4 linked regions of the Caenorhabditis elegans genome follow. The protein of the gene in region 2 interacts with the protein of the main gene of each other region in a pairwise test. Each region holds a gene or a part of one and is shown on either strand. Other genes may lie near its edges. The genes, in order: atf-4, zip-11, cids-1 and zfp-1.

Region 1 (3,780 bases), on a different chromosome or scaffold from region 2:
TGAAGTTTGACTTACCGTTTCCGCGCCATTTCGATGCTCCGGAAAAATTTCGATGCTGAAAACTTTGAGGCGGAAAAAGTTTGTCGTGGCAAAATATCGTCGCGGAAAATTTCGCTGCGGAAAATTTTTTTTTTTCAATTTAGTTGCGGTACATTTTCGGAGCATAAATAATTTTGAAAAACGTATATTTTTGGATGAAACCAATATTTTTTAAAAGCGTACATTTTCGGATGAAATAAATATTTTTGAATTTTCTAAACACTTTCCTATCTAAAAGAGTCTGATCCACTCGAAAAGTTTCACTAACCAAATTTCAAATTGACTTGTCCGATTCCCCCCGATATACTTTTGTTTTTCCACTCACTCCTAATTGTTTTTAGCTAAAATATGAGTTTGTCGCCAGTGTTGGAATAATGACGTGCGCTTCAAGTTCACTAGTAGTCATGATGACAAAATAAATGAAAAATGATGACAAAACAAGAAGCTACAATTTGACTACAACCAACTATAAGTGTTGGTGATAAGTTATAGATCTATCGGTTTCAGATACTTTTTTATTTGAAGAGTAAGGTTAATATCATGCAAACGAACAGAATAATACCATTGGCGTATGAAATTTTAAAAAATCCACAATTCGTACAATATAAGGGAAGGATGAAGTTTAGAAAATATTAATAATAATAAAATGAGTTGAACTTTCAAACGGAGTAAAAAACATTAAAAATTGAGGTTTAGTCGGTGACAGTTTTCATTCCCATCTCGGTCATGAACTTTTTGAAGTAACGAATTTCACGCTCCAACTCGGATACCTGGAAAAAAAGCTAATCCTCAAAATTCTTCATAATTTACAAACCTGATCCTTCAGCTTGCCATTGGTGACACTAAGACCTTCAATGCAAGTCATAGCCTCTTCCTTTTCACGACGCTTCTTTTCACGGTATCTGGTAGCTGCGAGACGGTTTTGAGCCTTCTTTCGTTCCTTCTTTTCTGGGGTTTTGTATGGGTGGTAAGATTTTTCGGATTGAGAGTCATGTTCATCTGAAGACCAATTTGAGGCTGGAGACGCGCTCGAGTTGGAACGACGCTCGATTTCTTCGCACTCGCGCACGATTTCTTCGAGAATTTGTTCCTGAAATAACATTTTTGTGAGTTTTTCATATGTTTAGATGTAAAATTCCGGATATACCGAATTGTTTTTTTAAAGTTTCAGTCAAATTTCAAAAGACTTCCAGAGGATTGCAACTCAAAAACTTCTGCAAAAGCAGATAATTGTAACCCCTAAAGTTAAAAAGCTAGGAGGTTGTTTTATTTGAATTTTACCCCTTTCAAAGTCAAATGTTCATTATTCAATGTTACTTTACCAGAAGCAACGTATCGGTTTCATTTACTAAAATATTTGCATTCGTTGACACCAAAAGCATACACAACATTTCCTCTTCCTTATAGCTTTGAATCACATGAATTTCACGTGAAACCACCGTTGCTTCTCAACCTAACTATATTTCCTTAACATAGTCTTCCCGCAGATCATTTTTGATCTCTCAACCCGATTGGTTCTCCGTTATCAAGTAGACAGACAGTTTCCATGTCAGAATTTTCGTGCAATTGTTTTTGTGAAATTTCCTGAGCGCAATTTCTGAACTATCAACTCACTTTTGCTTGTACATTAGTCTCCATTGGCTCAATTGAGCAAAACGGATCTGGTGGAACCGAAGTGCTTTGTGGAACCATTTGGAAGTTGACATCGGAGTTCAAATGATGCTGTTGATAAGATTGATGGGAGTAGGGGTTGAAATATGATTGAGGATATGTCGGAGATTGATGGTGATGATGATGATGGTTATGATATTGTGGGGTGGAATGGGTTTGATTGTGCATCCCATTATAAAGCAAGAACTGTGGATTTTGTTCATTTACATAAGCCATTTGTTGGTAATCATTTTGTCCGTATGCATGACCCGTAGGCTCAACAAACACAGCACGTGATTTCCTGGAAAGGATCATTGTTTAAACTAATTATTAATCAATTAAAAGTTAAATGAACTTACTGTACAAATTGGCGCTGTGGCGGAAGGAGCGTTCGCGATGACGTAAGATTGGTATTGAGACGGTTCGGTGCTATAGTTCATGTTGAAGTTCATAATTTTCAGATGAGATGTTTCTGCGAGAAAGTGGCTGTATGTGTCCAGTGATGTGTTGATTGTGAAATGACAGAAGAGGAAAGGGAGACGACTAGCGCTTGGTGTAGTTTGGCTGCCCCCAATCTTTTCCACCTCCGGCGTTTGCTCGATATTTTTTGTATGTTCTCTGATCGCACCCGTTTCTTATACTATTTCTCTTAGTTTATCAGGGCTGTCGCGTGCTATCTGCATCTCTCGCGGTCTCGTACGTCATCAATCGATGTGGATTAGTGGAGGAAATTCAAATATCAAAGACGTTAAGCTGATCTTTGGATTGAAAAAAGTTTCAGATTAATTTTTAATAAAATGTGTAAGTAATTCAAAAAGCTCCCAGAGTGTTTTCTTACAGTTAGGTATAATTAAGGTAGGGCTTCTCTAAACTTTCTTATCTAAATTTCCCGATATTCGCTATTTCGGATATCGGTTATTTTAGATTTTTAGCGACAGATAGCTCAGTCGGTAGTGGTCGCCGCTAACAATCTGGAGATCACGAGTTGAAGTTCAAGACCCCCTAGGTTTAACCAGCCTCTATTGGAGAGTGGAGCAATCCACTACAGGATTATCGGCCACAGTCCCAGGCTAGGATGTGGCTTAAATTATAGCCCAGTGAGATCACCACCAGTCAGTTTACCTGAATCCCAGTTCCGCAGAGCATAGCACTTGAAGAACGGATCGTCTTTTAATCCTTTAATCCTTTAGTTCGCTGTTTCGAATAAAATAATTTTTTTGAATCGGATATTTTTCGGACAATTTGGATATTTCGGATATTTTTCTTCAAATTTGTGTTATTTTTCTGTTTCAACTAATTTTTATTGAAAAATGAACAGTTTATTGAAAACCGACAACAAAAACATCAGAAAAAACTGTTTAAACAAAACAACATGTTAGAAATTAAAGAAAATAAATCAATAATTTCAGTCAACCAAGTAGCCTTCTGGCTCATCAATAGTATTCATTAGACGAATATTTTTGCTCAAAAATAGGAGCATTTTAAATTCTCAGGTGACAAAGCTTTTCGGTATTTAGTAAGACTCGTGTCGGCTGTTGAACACAGTTTCTCAGCTTCACTTGAGCCAGTTGGACAGATGATAAAGCGTCGAGCAAATTTGGAGAGGCGTGGATATGATGATTTGGTCACAGAATTTACCCAAAAATCTCTCGGACTGATAGTTTCTACTGCAGTGGAGAGATAACGTGTCACCTCCATCTTCACGGTAAAACTTTCGTCAGTTAACGATAGGTGCTCTCCACGAGGCTTGATCTTTTTCTGAAATATGTTTCAACTAAAAATTCTAGTCCGAAACGTTATTCACCTTAATGTGCAGTCAAAGTTGTCCGAGATTTTTTGAATTTTTGAATTAGGTTCATTGAGATGCAAAGAGTCGTCAAGAGCAGTGTTTGCAGATTTCTCCACGTCTTCAGTATGGCTCTGCGTCTTCTTCTTCAATCACCTTAAATAAACTCCAAAATTCAACAAAATTTTGCGTATTTGGATCAAACTCGTTTTTGTTAGAAATTTCAACTTGAGAATTTCATTCCACCCGACTGAACTTCCGTTATAAATCATGCCGTGCTTGAACAGCATGCTCAAAATCTCAAC
Region 2 (4,079 bases):
GATCGGAAAATTGTGATTTTCAAAACTCTCGCTAATCTATTTTTTGAAATACCGCGCCTTTTCAATACGGTAAACAACGTAAACAACAAACCCCGCCCATTTTCGTGCAAACACACATTCCGAAAAGTTGTTATTGCACTAACACGGCCCGGCGAACCGTACGTGGCTGTAAAATCTCTACCGTAGTAAAATTTGGCTGACTGAATATTCAACGTTTGATACTCAGCGAAAAGTTTCGTACGACATTTTGCGGACGCGGCATTTTAATTGACGACACTTGTTTTAGTTCTAGAAACGCTGGTCATTTCGGCAATTTTCGGGCAGAAATTGTGAAAAATAAATTAATTTTTATCGAATTTACAAAAAATAATCATTTTAAAGAATTGTATGTTGCTGATATTGAAGAAAATCGATACTTTAAACAGTTTTTCGCAATGTTTCTCGATTTTGGCCAATTTTTTCAAGTTTTAGAGCCCTGAAGTTCCCTAAATCGTATAATCTCACATTTGATTATTGAAAAACGCGTGTTATTATTAAAAATTCGTTTATTAATATAAAAATAACAATGATAATACATAATGGAAATGCAACTGGTGCGCGCAGAGAACGCGTCTGGCGCTTGATACCAAATAACTAGCGAGCTGCGAGCGCGCGCCATGCGCATCACGTGTGTGCGCCAGGTAGCCAAATCTGCCGAGTTGCTTGATCTACTAATAATTTCCAGAGAATATCGTTGAACTGATATACAAGTATGTGGGGGAAAATGGCTGGAGACATAAATAATATAAGAATCATTTTTTGGCAAGTTTGGCGAGGAAGGCCTGTCTCATCTCGGCGACCTCCTTCTCGAGATGTCCGGCTTGAAGCTTGAGCCGCTGATTACGATCCTCCTCGGCTTCGAGCTGATCCAGAAGATCCTGCCATTTCGCCTTCTGCTTGTCACGATAACGGGCGGCCGCAACTTTGTTTTGCTGGCGTTTACGGGATAGAAGCTTGGTTTCATCTGGAAATTTTAATAATTAAATTTTAATTTTAATCCTGAATAAAACTACCATTCGACGAGCCTTCCTTCTTCAAATTATCGACAGTTTGCATTACAATATCGACGAGATCATTAATCGGAATCGCTTCTTGAGCACCATTCTCGTGCTCTACTTGACATTTCTCGCAGTCGCCGGCGCTATTCATAATATGATCGCATTCTTTCGAGATTTCCTCGAAAATCTTCGATTGCTCATGTGGAATCTCCTTTGTTGAGCAACGTTCGTGAACACAATCCACTTCGGCGCACCAGAATTGAGGGCTGAGATCGGTTTGGCCGAGATCTGGAAATTTATTGGTTTTTGAAAATTCAAGACAGATTTGGCAGAAAATTGTAAATAATCGATCACCTTGATAGGATGGTGGCACAGAATTGTAGTAGGACGTCTCGACTGGAAGATCCGATGGGCATGACAGCGTCTGATAGCATTCCGTGTGATGAACCGACGAGTGCGGGTAGTGATGGTGGTGGTAGTGGTCGTGGGGGTTCAGCTCGGCGTGCTCATGGTAGCTGAAATTATATTAATATATTTTTGCTTTTTACATTCGAAATAGCCCATTTTCCTGGAATTTAAACTCAAAAAACGGGTTTATAACGTTTTTTTTTAACGTTTTAAAAAAAATTAATTTTTTTTTAATTGATGGTGTTTGCGTACTTGCACGACAATTTACGAGAAAATGCGGACTTTTGTAGTTAAGTTTGGAATTTAAAATTCTGAAATTCCGCATAAGACCTGAAAAAATCGCAAAAATAAGAATAAAATATTATTTCAATGAAAAAAAAATTGATTTTTGTGAAAAATATCGATTTTCGGCTTCTAATATTATAAATTGTGAGAAATAGCCAATAATTAAAAGGGGTTTTCGAATATTTTTTAATTAAAACACTATTTTTTATGGAATATATTGCATTTTTAATATTTTATTCTCGCGAAAATCGATATTTGCATATTTATTTTATTAATTATTGAATAGAAAAATCTTTAAATTAAATTTTTCTCGGCTTTCCTAAAAATTTATCAATTCCAATTTCAATTTCCATTACAAATTTCCATTTTAAAACAAACCTATAATTGCAGTGATTATTCTCTGCATTCGGGGGCCACATTTTCGTCGAAAAATTGCCTTAAAAAAGCGAAGGCGCGTCGAACGACGAGACGCGAGTGGGTGAAAGAATGAAAGGCCTAGACAGCGAGCGCGGCCTATCGATTGTGACGGGCCTTAGCGCGGAGAGAGCGTGCCGGCGTGAGAGACGCAGAGATAGGTCGGTTAGGCAGTGCGGTGAGATAGCGCGCGGGGTGTGGAACCGCAGAGTGTGCGCCGTGATGTCCTCCGATTTTTGTTTCGAAAAATAGAAAAAAAAAGAAGAGAAAAGGTGAGAGAAAAGAAAACACAGCAGCAGCTTTTGAGGAGAAGAGTTCAGGTGATTGATGAGGATTCCACGTCATCGGAGAAGACGATTTTTTTCTGAAAAATTGAAGGCTTTCAAGGAAATCTGTCCATTTTTCGCTTCATCTTCTTTTTTATGTACGTGTTCTAAATTATTTGGCACTGAACATGGTTTTTCGGTTTTCGTATCTTTTGGCGCGAGTAGCGTCCACCGGTACTCGCCTTATCGCCTTATCAGTATACCAAAAGTTTTTCGTAGAATATGCAACATTTGGAAAAGGCGATAAGCTGCACTTAAATGCACTTTGTTCTCGAAAAGCCTCTCGGCAGACAGATAAGCCGACACTTTATTAGAAAGAAGGCGCATGCCGTAAAACGTAATGAAACGCCTTTGCACAGCGGCAGCAGGGCCTAAATGAAATGAAATGCCTAACTAAACGAAAAGATCAACCAGCAAGCAAAGGGAAAAGTGTAACGAAATTCGGAGGGGAAAAAGTTCAAGCATAACGATCATTGAGATTGTTGGGATTGATAGAGGGTCAATTTGTACTATTTGTTTATAAGTGCAACAAGAGATGCACCAGGGGTGGGCGGCAATTACCGTTCTACAAATTTATTTTCCGGCAAATCGGCAAAGTGCCGGTTTGCCGATTTGCCGGAAATTTTCAATTTCGGTAACTTGCCGATTTGCCGGAAATCTTCAATTTCGGTAACTTGCCGATTTCCCGGAAATTTTCAATTTCGGTAACTTGCCGATTTGCCGGAAATCTTCAATTTCGGTAACTTGCCGATTTGCCGGAAATCTTCAATTTCGGTAACTTGCCGATTTCCCGGAAATTTTCAATTTCGGTAACTTGCCGATTTCCCGGAAATTTTCAATTTCGGTAACTTGCCGATTTGCCGGTTATTTTCAATTCCGGCAGCTTGCCGATTAGCCTGAAGCTTTCAATTCCGGTAACTTGCCGATTTCCCGGAAATTTTCAATTCCGGCAACTTGCCGATTTGCCGGAAATTTTCAATTCCGGTAACTTGTCAATTTGCCGGAAATTTTCAATTCTGGTAACTTGCCGATTTGCCTGAAGTTTTCAATTCCTGTAACTTGCCGATTTGCCGGTAATTTTCAATTCCGGTAACTTGCCGATTTGCCGGAAATTTTCAATTTCGGTAACTTGCCGATTCGCCGGAAATTTTCAATTTCGGCAACTTGCCAATTCACCGGAAATTTTCAATTCCGGTAACTTGCCGATTCGCCGGAAATTTTCAATTCCGGTAACTTGCCGATTTGCCGGTAATTTTCAATTCCGGCAGCTTGCCAATTTGCCGGAAATTTTCAATTTCGGTAACTTGCCGATTTGCCGGAAATTTTCAATTCCGGCAACTTGCCGATTTGCCTGAAGCTTTCAATTTCTGTAACTTGCTGATTTGCCGGAAATTTTCAATTCCGGCAACTTGCCGATTTGCCTGAAGCTTTCAATTCCTGTAACTTGCCGATTTGCCTGAAGCTTTCAATTCCTGTAACTTGCCGATTTGCCTGAAGCTTTCAATTCCTGTAACTTGCCGATTTGCCGGTAATTTTCAATTCCGGTAACTTGCCGATTTGCCGGAAATTTTCAATTTCGGTAACTTGCCGATTTCCCGGAAATTTCAAT
Region 3 (3,752 bases), on a different chromosome or scaffold from region 2:
TGTTTCCTACAGTAATATCATTCCAAAATTACAATTTTATAAAATACAGTATTTATGATTTTTGATCGACCATTACATAAAGAATAACCTGTCATATTATTTTTATTGCCAAAATAATTATTACTCAAGTTTTTCTAATCTCGGGAATATTTATATAATTAGAAGCTAAATGTTGCCAAAAGCTTGACCTACCAAAATAGATTGCAAATCGAGTCCTCGCATTTTGAGAACTTCCAAAGTTTGATTGTAGATGTTAACTTGAATATAAGTTGACATTTTTCAGTAAATACCAACTTGTCGAGTTGCAAAGCAGGAATGAATCAATGACACAGCTGGGCAGACCACAAAGTAAGAGACTCGAAACGCAGACGGTTCTAAGCAGCGCCGACTCACTCCTTCTTTTGCATTATATCTTGTGTCTCACTCGTGCGTTCTTGCCCTGTGTGTTTTCGCTCTCTGCATTTTTCTCTCTATTTTGTAGTTTGCGTTGGACGCCGAAATGTAGTCATGTTGTAGACTACAACATATAAGTGGAGGAATATTTATCAGATTACCGGGATGGTAAAACAATTTCAGAGGGGAAGAGGATACGAATAAGTTAAAATAAAATGAGATAGATACTGCAATAATTAATCCTCACGAAGTGGCAGGAACTTTACGACGACTGGCTTTCCGGCTTCAGCGATGACCAAGTGAATTTTGTCTCCAGTAGAGATTTCACGCTCAGCAGCACCACGGAACGAATCCTAGAAAAAATAAATGAATTAGGTTAAAATTACGAAATTCAATTATACCTTCATCAATGAGATGGCTCTGTCCAATGTGAGTTCCGGACGCTCATATCCTTCAGAGAGCGTAACGTGCCCGATTTGACAATCCAAGAATGGAATGATCATTGGTTCAGCGGCTCCACTGGCTGAGTATCCAAGACGCTCGATACATCCGATTGGGTCGTAACTGAACACGGCCCCTTTTCCGTGCTCGTCAATTCCGGCAAGAATAGCTCCAGTGTAGTATGGGAAGAACCGACGGTAATAGAGGTTGCGGGAGAGAAGTTCTGCGCAAAGATCCACAGACATGTCAGAGCGATAATCGAAGCGGTACTTGTGGAGACGAGATTGGAGAACTTTCTTCAATTGGAGGACATCTCCATAGAATCCAGAGGTGGTGAGGATGATGTTATCATTCCTGAATTAAGAATTATTATTAAAACAAAGACAAATACTGGCTTACAAAATTTGAATCTTCTCTGCGTCACGTGTAAGAATGTTGATGTCGTTTTGGGTCATTCTAGTATCACTTGCCACGATGGCAAAGTTCTCCCCAGAAATGGCACAGGTTGATCCTCCCTCCATTGAATACGGGTTCCAGCGTTGACGCTCAATTTGTCTGGAACTCATCCACTCTGGATGAGCTGCAACTTCCTTCATTGCCTGCTTGAACATTGCCATTTCATTGGTGGCGTTGGCGACAGCCGTGATTCCAGTGAAGCTTGTCATCTGAAAAAGGCGTATACTTATTTAGTTGAAACAATATAAATATTCAATATGACAAAATTCAATTAATACAGAAAACAAATGCTCGAAATTTGAGAATTCAACATAACAGGAAATGCTGACAATGAGAGACATCGTCATTTACAATGTTTAGTCCGCAGTTTTCTGCGCGTTCAAATGCACATCGCACATCGAACTATACGACACTTTGCTGAAATTTATTGAAACGCGTTTTCCTCTCTTTTTTGAATGAAAATTCATTTTTCCAAGGTATTTTTGAGGACAATTCATCGCTTTATCTACATTTCTGATTAAAATTTTTGTGATTTCTTTTTTTCAATAATTGATATTTCAGATGGCAGATTTCACAGAGCAAACTTTGCGACAGAAGTTAACAAATTTATCAAACCACCCTTCCTCAATTCAGACGACTTCTGCCTGGCTTTTGCAAAATCATAGCAATCGGGAATTGATCATTCGAGTTTGGCTAAAGGTATTTTATTCATATTGTATCATTTTTTAGTGTTGTATTTCAGACAGTAAAGAAAGAAACACACGGCTCAAAAATTGTAAATCTTCTTTATGTGGCGAATGATGTAAGCCAAAATGCGAGAAAGACTTGCCCACAATTCAAGGACGAATTTTTTCCCGCAATAGAAAGTTCTTTCAGGTATTGGCATTTTCAAACGTCTAATCTCAAAATTAATTTCAGGCATGCAATCGAGTTGAAAAATGCAAAAGAAGTGGAACATGCAATTGGTAAACTGATCAATGTATGGAAAGATCGTCAGATATTCACTCCATCACAATGCAAACGGCTTCATGAAGTTCATCAACAAGTTAAGCTATCTGGAAGCTTCCCAACACCCGCAGTTGCGAACAAGGAACATGGAAAGGTGTGTGAATTTAATAAATTCCAAAAGAATGCCAAAATGAGCTTAAGGTCGCTCAACCTAGTCAGTTCGTCGTTGAAGAAGCGAAAAAGAATGCACAAGATGTTTTGCTCAGTTTGAAGCGCCTTCAAAACCCGCCGAGCACGGAAAGAGAAATTCGCACAGAACTTTCAAAATATCCGGATAATATTTCGTGCCCAGAAAAGTTGCAGTCAGTTCGAAGTTCGCAAGAAGCACAGTCTCTGTTGGTCCAAAATGAAGAAGCTCTTCCGATGCTGGAGGAATATGTTAAAAGGTTTGATTGAAACTTTTGTGAATTGATTTTGTACATTAACTTATGCTTTCAGGCTGAAAAACGAGACAAATGAACGCGAAACTCTCGAATCGAACTTGAATATGCTTATAGAAAATGTTAGAATGAGCATTGAACATCACGAGAAATTGTGCAGAGAAGTTAAGCGTAGAGAAGATCGAATCAAGGCAGATTTGTTAGAGGTTTGAAAACTAGAAAATCAGTTTTTGCAGACTTGAATTGAATTTCAGGTTGAAAAAACATTCGAATCGTTGCCAGATTTGGCTGCTGAGATGCCAAATGCACCATTGCCAACACTTGAAGCTTTGTTCGAGAAGAGGAAAAAATAAGTATCATACTACGTCATAATTATAACTTTACGATCTCAGTAGCTTTTACTGTACCCCCATTGTTGTATAATTTTTGTTCACTTTGATCTTTTACAATCGTGATCACCATTACCACATAAGTGCTTTATACGTTTTTCTTCTGAACCACCTTAAATGAATTTATTTTTTCTAAAATTCAAGTTAGTTCTATTATCTGAAAACGGTTCTTAACCAGTGTTTATCTCTGAAAGTTTGAAATTAATTGTTTAAAAGCTGATATTTTACAGATGGGTATTCTGGAGAAAATTGCAGAAATCGAACATGAAATTTCAAGAACCCAAAAGAATAAAGCCACTGAATACCATTTGGGTCTTCTAAAAGCAAAGTTGGCAAAATATCGTCAACAATTGTTAGAACCAACAGGCAAAGGAGGTGCCAAAGGAGAAGGATTCGATGTAATGAAAAGTGGAGATGCGAGAGTTGCAATGGTTGGATTTCCTTCCGTCGGAAAATCGACTCTATTGTCCTCAATGACTTCCACTCACTCAGAAGCTGCTGGATATGAATTCACAACTCTTACGTGCATTCCTGGTGTCATCTCTTACAACGGAGCCAATATTCAATTGCTCGATCTTCCTGGAATCATTGAAGGAGCTTCTCAGGGAAAAGGAAGAGGAAGACAGGTTATCTCAGTTGCAAAAACTGCAGATTTAATTCTTATGATGCTTGATGCAGGAAAGAG
Region 4 (4,984 bases), on a different chromosome or scaffold from region 2:
AGTGTAGAGACCAGCTAAAGGGAGACTTAGATATTGAAAAGAGACGGAACAAAACATTGCTCAGTGTTTTGGAAAAGTTTGTGCTGAATTTTGAAAAAAAAAACAAAAATTTGCAGCGTCCTCATTAGTAAAAAGAACTAATAAAGATTATTAGACTTTTTCAAAAAAAACTAAAGGGTTTTATGATATTTGTTACCGTTTAATTTAAATTAGGTGAATTAGAATAACATCAAAAATTTGACAACCCCCGAGAACAATCAAGACATTCAACTTAGTTGGAAACAGGCGAAGATCGTCTTAAGGTGAGGCAGGCAGGCGGTGAGGCCTATATGATAGGCCTACTTTCAAGATCAAAAGTTTAATTTAGATTTAGAAATAATTCTGTGAATGTACCAAAATGTAAAACAAAAATGTTAAATGACAAAGTCTAGAAAAAAAAAAAAAAGAACATAGAACTACTTCAGGGAGACGGAAGAGAAAATGAGTGAATGTCTCTCTTTGGCGACAAAAAAACTCCATTGACGGAAGACGATGAGAAAGGTGACATCAAACACAACGAGAAGAGGAAAGTAGGTGAGAGAGTGAGTAGAGACGTAGAGAGTTAAGCAAAAACCGTAACAAGTGAGAAAGTGGGGAGATGCAAGGATGATGTAGCAGGAAAATGTAGAGTATGACGTGGCGACGACTATATTCAAATCTATCGAGTATTCGTCGAAGAAGAACCAAATGAAGCACAAGAGAATGATGTTGCCTCACTATGTGCGTGTGTATGTATGTGTGCGTACGGACGGAGAAAACGAAAAAGCAGGACAAAGCGAGGAATACGACGATGACGATAAAGAGGAAAATAAGAAGCGCAGACGAAACAACGGCCGCCGGGGGCCACCCGAGAAAAAGAAGTCCAGAAGGGGCGGCGAAGAGCAGACGCAGAGAATCATCTAAGCTTATGAAATTGAGAGAGAGAGAGACACTCTATGCACGTCTCTTTCTCTTCCAAACTCGCTTGGCCCGACAGCAATTTGTTCCTTTTTGTGTCTATGTCTCTCCGAGTTCTTCGTCTATCTCTCTCAGTGCCCCCCCCCCCCCCGAGCACTATTTGTCGTTGTCACACTCAGTCAGCCATCCATCCAGCCAGCCGTTGGCCCAACCCATTTCATTTCGTCTAAACGTCTGTACTCTCTTCTCTCGTCTATTCCATCTTCTCAAGTGTGTTGTGTTGAATGGATGGTGTGTGTATGTGTATGTGGAAGCACGCGGACCTCCTTCGACAATGTCTCCCTCTCTCTCTCAACCTCTCTTTCGGTTTCTTTTTCTCAGGATAAAGAGATTTTAGACGCAGATATGAAAACAGGACGGAGGACGTCTCTTTCTCCATCTCTATCTCTTTCACTCTAAGAGTGAAGCGCAATGGCTGTGTTGCTATTCCAGGGTCCCAATGCTGTGACTCAGAAATAGAGTATCCTGAGAAGAGATGCAGAGAAGAAGCGGGCACACACGATTGTATTCATATTTTTACTTCTCTGAATCTCTAATACTCCGTACAATCTCTAGTTTTTCAAGAGACAGGTGTCTATCCACCTGGTCTATCAAGCATCGGACCTTCACAGCACCAGTATGACTAGGGATTAAATATTTGAAATTGATGGGTACTGTAGTTCTATTTTTATTTTCACTTCTATGAAAAACCAAGTGATAATCTGGCCTGATTTTCTTAAAATATTAAGAAATCGATTTTAATACTTTTTTCTCAATTTTTAGCGCATAAATCTTCAATAAACATACCGCTTTCTTCAAATGATTTTCACAATAACCACAATACTTGACATTCCGACTTATTGCCCCTTCTTCACATAAAAGTCCTTTCCGCTGAGCACAGGTTACGTGAAAGCTCCTCTGAAAATTTCGTTTAAATTACAAGAAATTTAAAGAAAAATAAAAATACCTTGCACGTCGACTTGTTACACGACATACATGCACCTTTTTTCGCATCATTTGGACGTTCTTCATTGCAGATGTAGCACAGTTTATTGAATCTATAAAATATATAAATTGATCGAGATAGTAATAAAACTTCAAGATTTTTTCAAAGAAAGAGTTTAAAATGTTTAGATTTTTTGTTGTTGTTTTTTTTTTGAAAGTCGAAAAATCGAAAAACTGGAAAAAAAATTTCGGTTCAGAAATGTACCGGAAATTTTTAAAATTTGAGATTTTCCAGAGAGTCAAAAAATCGAAAGTCGAAAACTCAAAAAATATTCACCCTTGATCAGACACATTTTTCATATTGAATTACCCATATTCTTGAGAAAAACTTACTTATCAGTTGGTACATCATTTAATATGACTGGTTCCATACTATGTACGTTCCCAAATCGCACTTCTGGAATGTAAAGTGCACAAATTACATGAGCCCATCCGTTTCGATCAGTTTTTTTCAATGCTCCATAGTCAAACGGACACAATTGACAACAAAATGTTGCCTCATTTATACTGCCGGGCATCATAGCTGATGCTTTCGTACATTTTGCACAAAACCATTCGCCTTCGGGTACTTCTTGAATTCCATAACATCCTGAAATGATAAAAATTCGGTGGGGCCTAATCGGAAAATTTGGTTTTTTGAGAGAAAATCGAAAAAAAAAAATCAAATTCATCTAATAAGATGGAAAAAAGCAAAACTTCAAACAATGCTTGGAAACGTTGGATTTTTTTTCGAAATATCGGGAAAAATACTAAAATTTTTCAATTTCTGTGAACTTCTACTCACCCTGATGTACTGCAACTTCACAATTCTCTCCATCACAATAGATCAATGGATTGTCTGTCCAACCATTCTCATCTGCACAAACGCAGCATCCACCTACCATCTCCTTCATTTTTCAGCAATTTCGGGGGACTCTGTAAAAATAATTATCCATTTGAGAATACAATTCACAAATTTTCCACAAAAATTCGAAAAAACTTACGATAATTTTTTTTGGGTTACTGTAGCTGGTCAAGAGGTCAGGCGTGGCTCATTTGTATGGTGATGTGCTGTAAAAATTCGGTAAAAATTACGCAGAAAAGGGGAGATTAGAGGTATATTGCCGTAAATTATTGATTTATTATGGCCGAGCGACAAATAAAGAAACAGAACAAATAGAAATAACCTAATTTCGGAGAAAAAAGAACGTTTAACAATTATCTATAATTGAATGCGTATCAAAAATAGTATTAAAGTTTCATAGAGATATTTAAATATTAGATTCGGAAAACAAAATAAATTGAAGAATGTTTTGCTTTATAAAATACACTAAAAATCCATTTGAAAATATCAAATATCAAATTACGAAACTCTTCAGAAATTCATTGAAAAATCTTTTATGGCCATTCAAAATTTTGCATAAAGGCTAATTCTTCAAAATTTAGAATTTTAGGTAAAACTGCTATAAAAAAGTTTGAGGAATTATTGAAAAGTTTCGTTATGAATTTCGGACTTTTCGGGCCAATTTGAGTGAACAAATTTTTCATTGAAAATTTAACGCCGAGCATTAGATATTTTTCTCTCAATTTTTGAAATAAAAGAAAATGGAACTGTACAAAATTTCGTCACAAAAGACAAACGGCAGCAGTCAATCAATACGACGAATAGAGGTCATTCAAAGACAAAAAATTTTTGCAGCGTCTCTCTTTTCTCTCTCCTTCTTATTATCGGGGAGCGGCCATCGATTCGATTTTCGATTCAGTCAAGTCAAAAAAGTTATGGGCGTGAATGAATGAATATACATTTAATAGTGATAATCAAATTGAGAGAACGACAGAGAATTACAGATTGTGTATGGAAGAAAAGGAAGAAGAAGAAATACACTGATAACGACGACATCGTCAGTGTCTTTCTCTCTCTCTCTCTATCTCTCTCTCGTCACCAAACCACCATCACAATCTTCCCGATTTGAAGTCTTTGACAATGAGAGAGTATTAGACACAGACAACTAGTAGCCTACAGTAGGAGAGACCGACATCACGTTCTCGTTTGGAAGAGAGGGAGAAGCAATCGAGAAGAAGAAGAAAAAGGAGGTGAAGATAGACACATACAACTTGGCATCGTGCCAAGCATGCATGAATTCTCACAGGGGCGCAGCGACGTCGGCTCTTCTATGTCACATGCACACAAGGAGCACATACATACAAACAAGAAGGGGAAGCTTTGCTCCTTTTCTCTCTAACTTTCTGCGTTCCAGTGCTTTATTTCATATAGCCGTATGTTTTAATAAAATTAGTTGAAAAGAAAATAATATACGGATCGGAAAATATAAAAATTTAAATGAAAAGAGTCATTTGGATGCTTAAAAAATCGTCCAAGGGCGAAATAAAGTTAATAAACTTTTATATTTTTCTCTAAACCTCGCCTAACATTTTCTACCACATAACCTTATAAAAATTAACATTGTATTGTCATTGAAAAATTAAATATTGAAAATTAACGGTCAAGGTGATAAATATAAATGGAAAAGTAATCAGTATCATCATAGACACAGATGTGATCGGATATACTTCGGGTATCGAGAAAAGAAAATTTACGATGGGGTACTTGCATAACACAAGAAAATCTCTACAGAGGGGTCACGAAGGATTACGATAGTCAAGAAATCATTTTATTGATTTTTTAAAACCACTTGGGGAACAGTTATAAATTTAATTTAACTAATGGTTATTGTGTGAAATAAAAATTTCTACAGAAAATTAACATCTTTAACAAAAAGTTTTTAAAATTAAAAAAAAAAATTTAAGAAGCAAGAGAATTTATTAATAGAACTTCACTGGTTTTTAAACATTTTTCAAGGCTAAAAATTCTTTTTTGATGAATCAAAAATAAATAAATAAATTTTATCGAGGATTTGTTTTCTAAATTTGACTATAAAAATTAATAATGAAAAACCATAGAAATTATATTAATTTTCCGACAATTTCCTCACTGAAGATATCTAAAAGGTGTTCATAATGACAA

What was found.
Region 1: the proteins of zip-11 (region 2) and atf-4 interact in a two-hybrid assay, tested with the Caenorhabditis elegans proteins (one large-scale study listed by BioGRID).
Region 3: the proteins of zip-11 (region 2) and cids-1 interact in a two-hybrid assay, tested with the Caenorhabditis elegans proteins (one large-scale study listed by BioGRID).
Region 4: the proteins of zip-11 (region 2) and zfp-1 interact in a two-hybrid assay, tested with the Caenorhabditis elegans proteins (one large-scale study listed by BioGRID).

The regions. Positions count from the first base shown.
Region 1 is NC_003284.9:14,808,616-14,812,395, forward strand, and holds atf-4 (Transcription factor atf-4 homolog), read right to left. Parts: upstream 2,049-3,780; 5' UTR 1,991-2,048; coding exon of another isoform or gene 1,967-1,990; 5' UTR 1,927-1,966; coding exon 1,654-1,926; intron 1,130-1,653; coding exon 854-1,129; intron 810-853; coding exon 732-809; 3' UTR 541-731; downstream 1-540. Other genes in the region: T04C10.11 (uncharacterized protein), read right to left, coding at 1,967-1,990, 2,049-2,189; T04C10.3 (Coiled-coil domain-containing protein 96), read left to right, coding at 3,746-3,780. UniProt on the Caenorhabditis elegans protein: Transcription factor.
Region 2 is NC_003282.8:3,309,638-3,313,716, reverse strand, and holds zip-11 (Transcription factor zip-11), read right to left. Parts: upstream 2,442-4,079; 5' UTR 2,150-2,441; coding exon 2,109-2,149; intron 1,553-2,108; coding exon 1,392-1,552; intron 1,326-1,391; coding exon 1,053-1,325; intron 1,004-1,052; coding exon 792-1,003; 3' UTR 528-791; downstream 1-527.
Region 3 is NC_003281.10:8,242,594-8,246,345, forward strand, and holds cids-1 (CID domain-containing protein 1), read left to right. Parts: upstream 1-1,851; coding exon 1,852-1,989; intron 1,990-2,032; coding exon 2,033-2,166; intron 2,167-2,208; coding exon 2,209-2,392; intron 2,393-2,439; coding exon 2,440-2,684; intron 2,685-2,736; coding exon 2,737-2,884; intron 2,885-2,932; coding exon 2,933-3,031; 3' UTR 3,032-3,201; downstream 3,202-3,752. Other genes in the region: Putative zinc finger protein C02F5.12, read right to left, coding at 193-276; pbs-6 (Proteasome subunit beta type-1), read right to left, coding at 630-746, 795-1,188, 1,234-1,499; putative GTP-binding protein C02F5.3, read left to right, coding at 3,298-3,752.
Region 4 is NC_003281.10:8,796,444-8,801,427, reverse strand, and holds the start of zfp-1 (Zinc finger protein zfp-1), read right to left. Parts: upstream 3,031-4,984; 5' UTR 2,964-3,030; intron 2,896-2,963; 5' UTR 2,874-2,895; coding exon 2,765-2,873; intron 2,570-2,764; coding exon 2,314-2,569; intron 2,034-2,313; coding exon 1,943-2,033; intron 1,896-1,942; exon of another isoform or gene 1,894-1,895; coding exon 1,783-1,893; intron 943-1,782; coding exon of another isoform or gene 727-942; intron 1-726. Other genes in the region: F54F2.6 (uncharacterized protein), read left to right, coding at 727-942. UniProt on the Caenorhabditis elegans protein: Recruits the histone methyltransferase dot-1.1 to chromatin to methylate 'Lys-79' of histone H3 and activate transcription. Recognizes and binds histone H3 methylated at 'Lys-4' (H3K4me) at the promoters of target genes.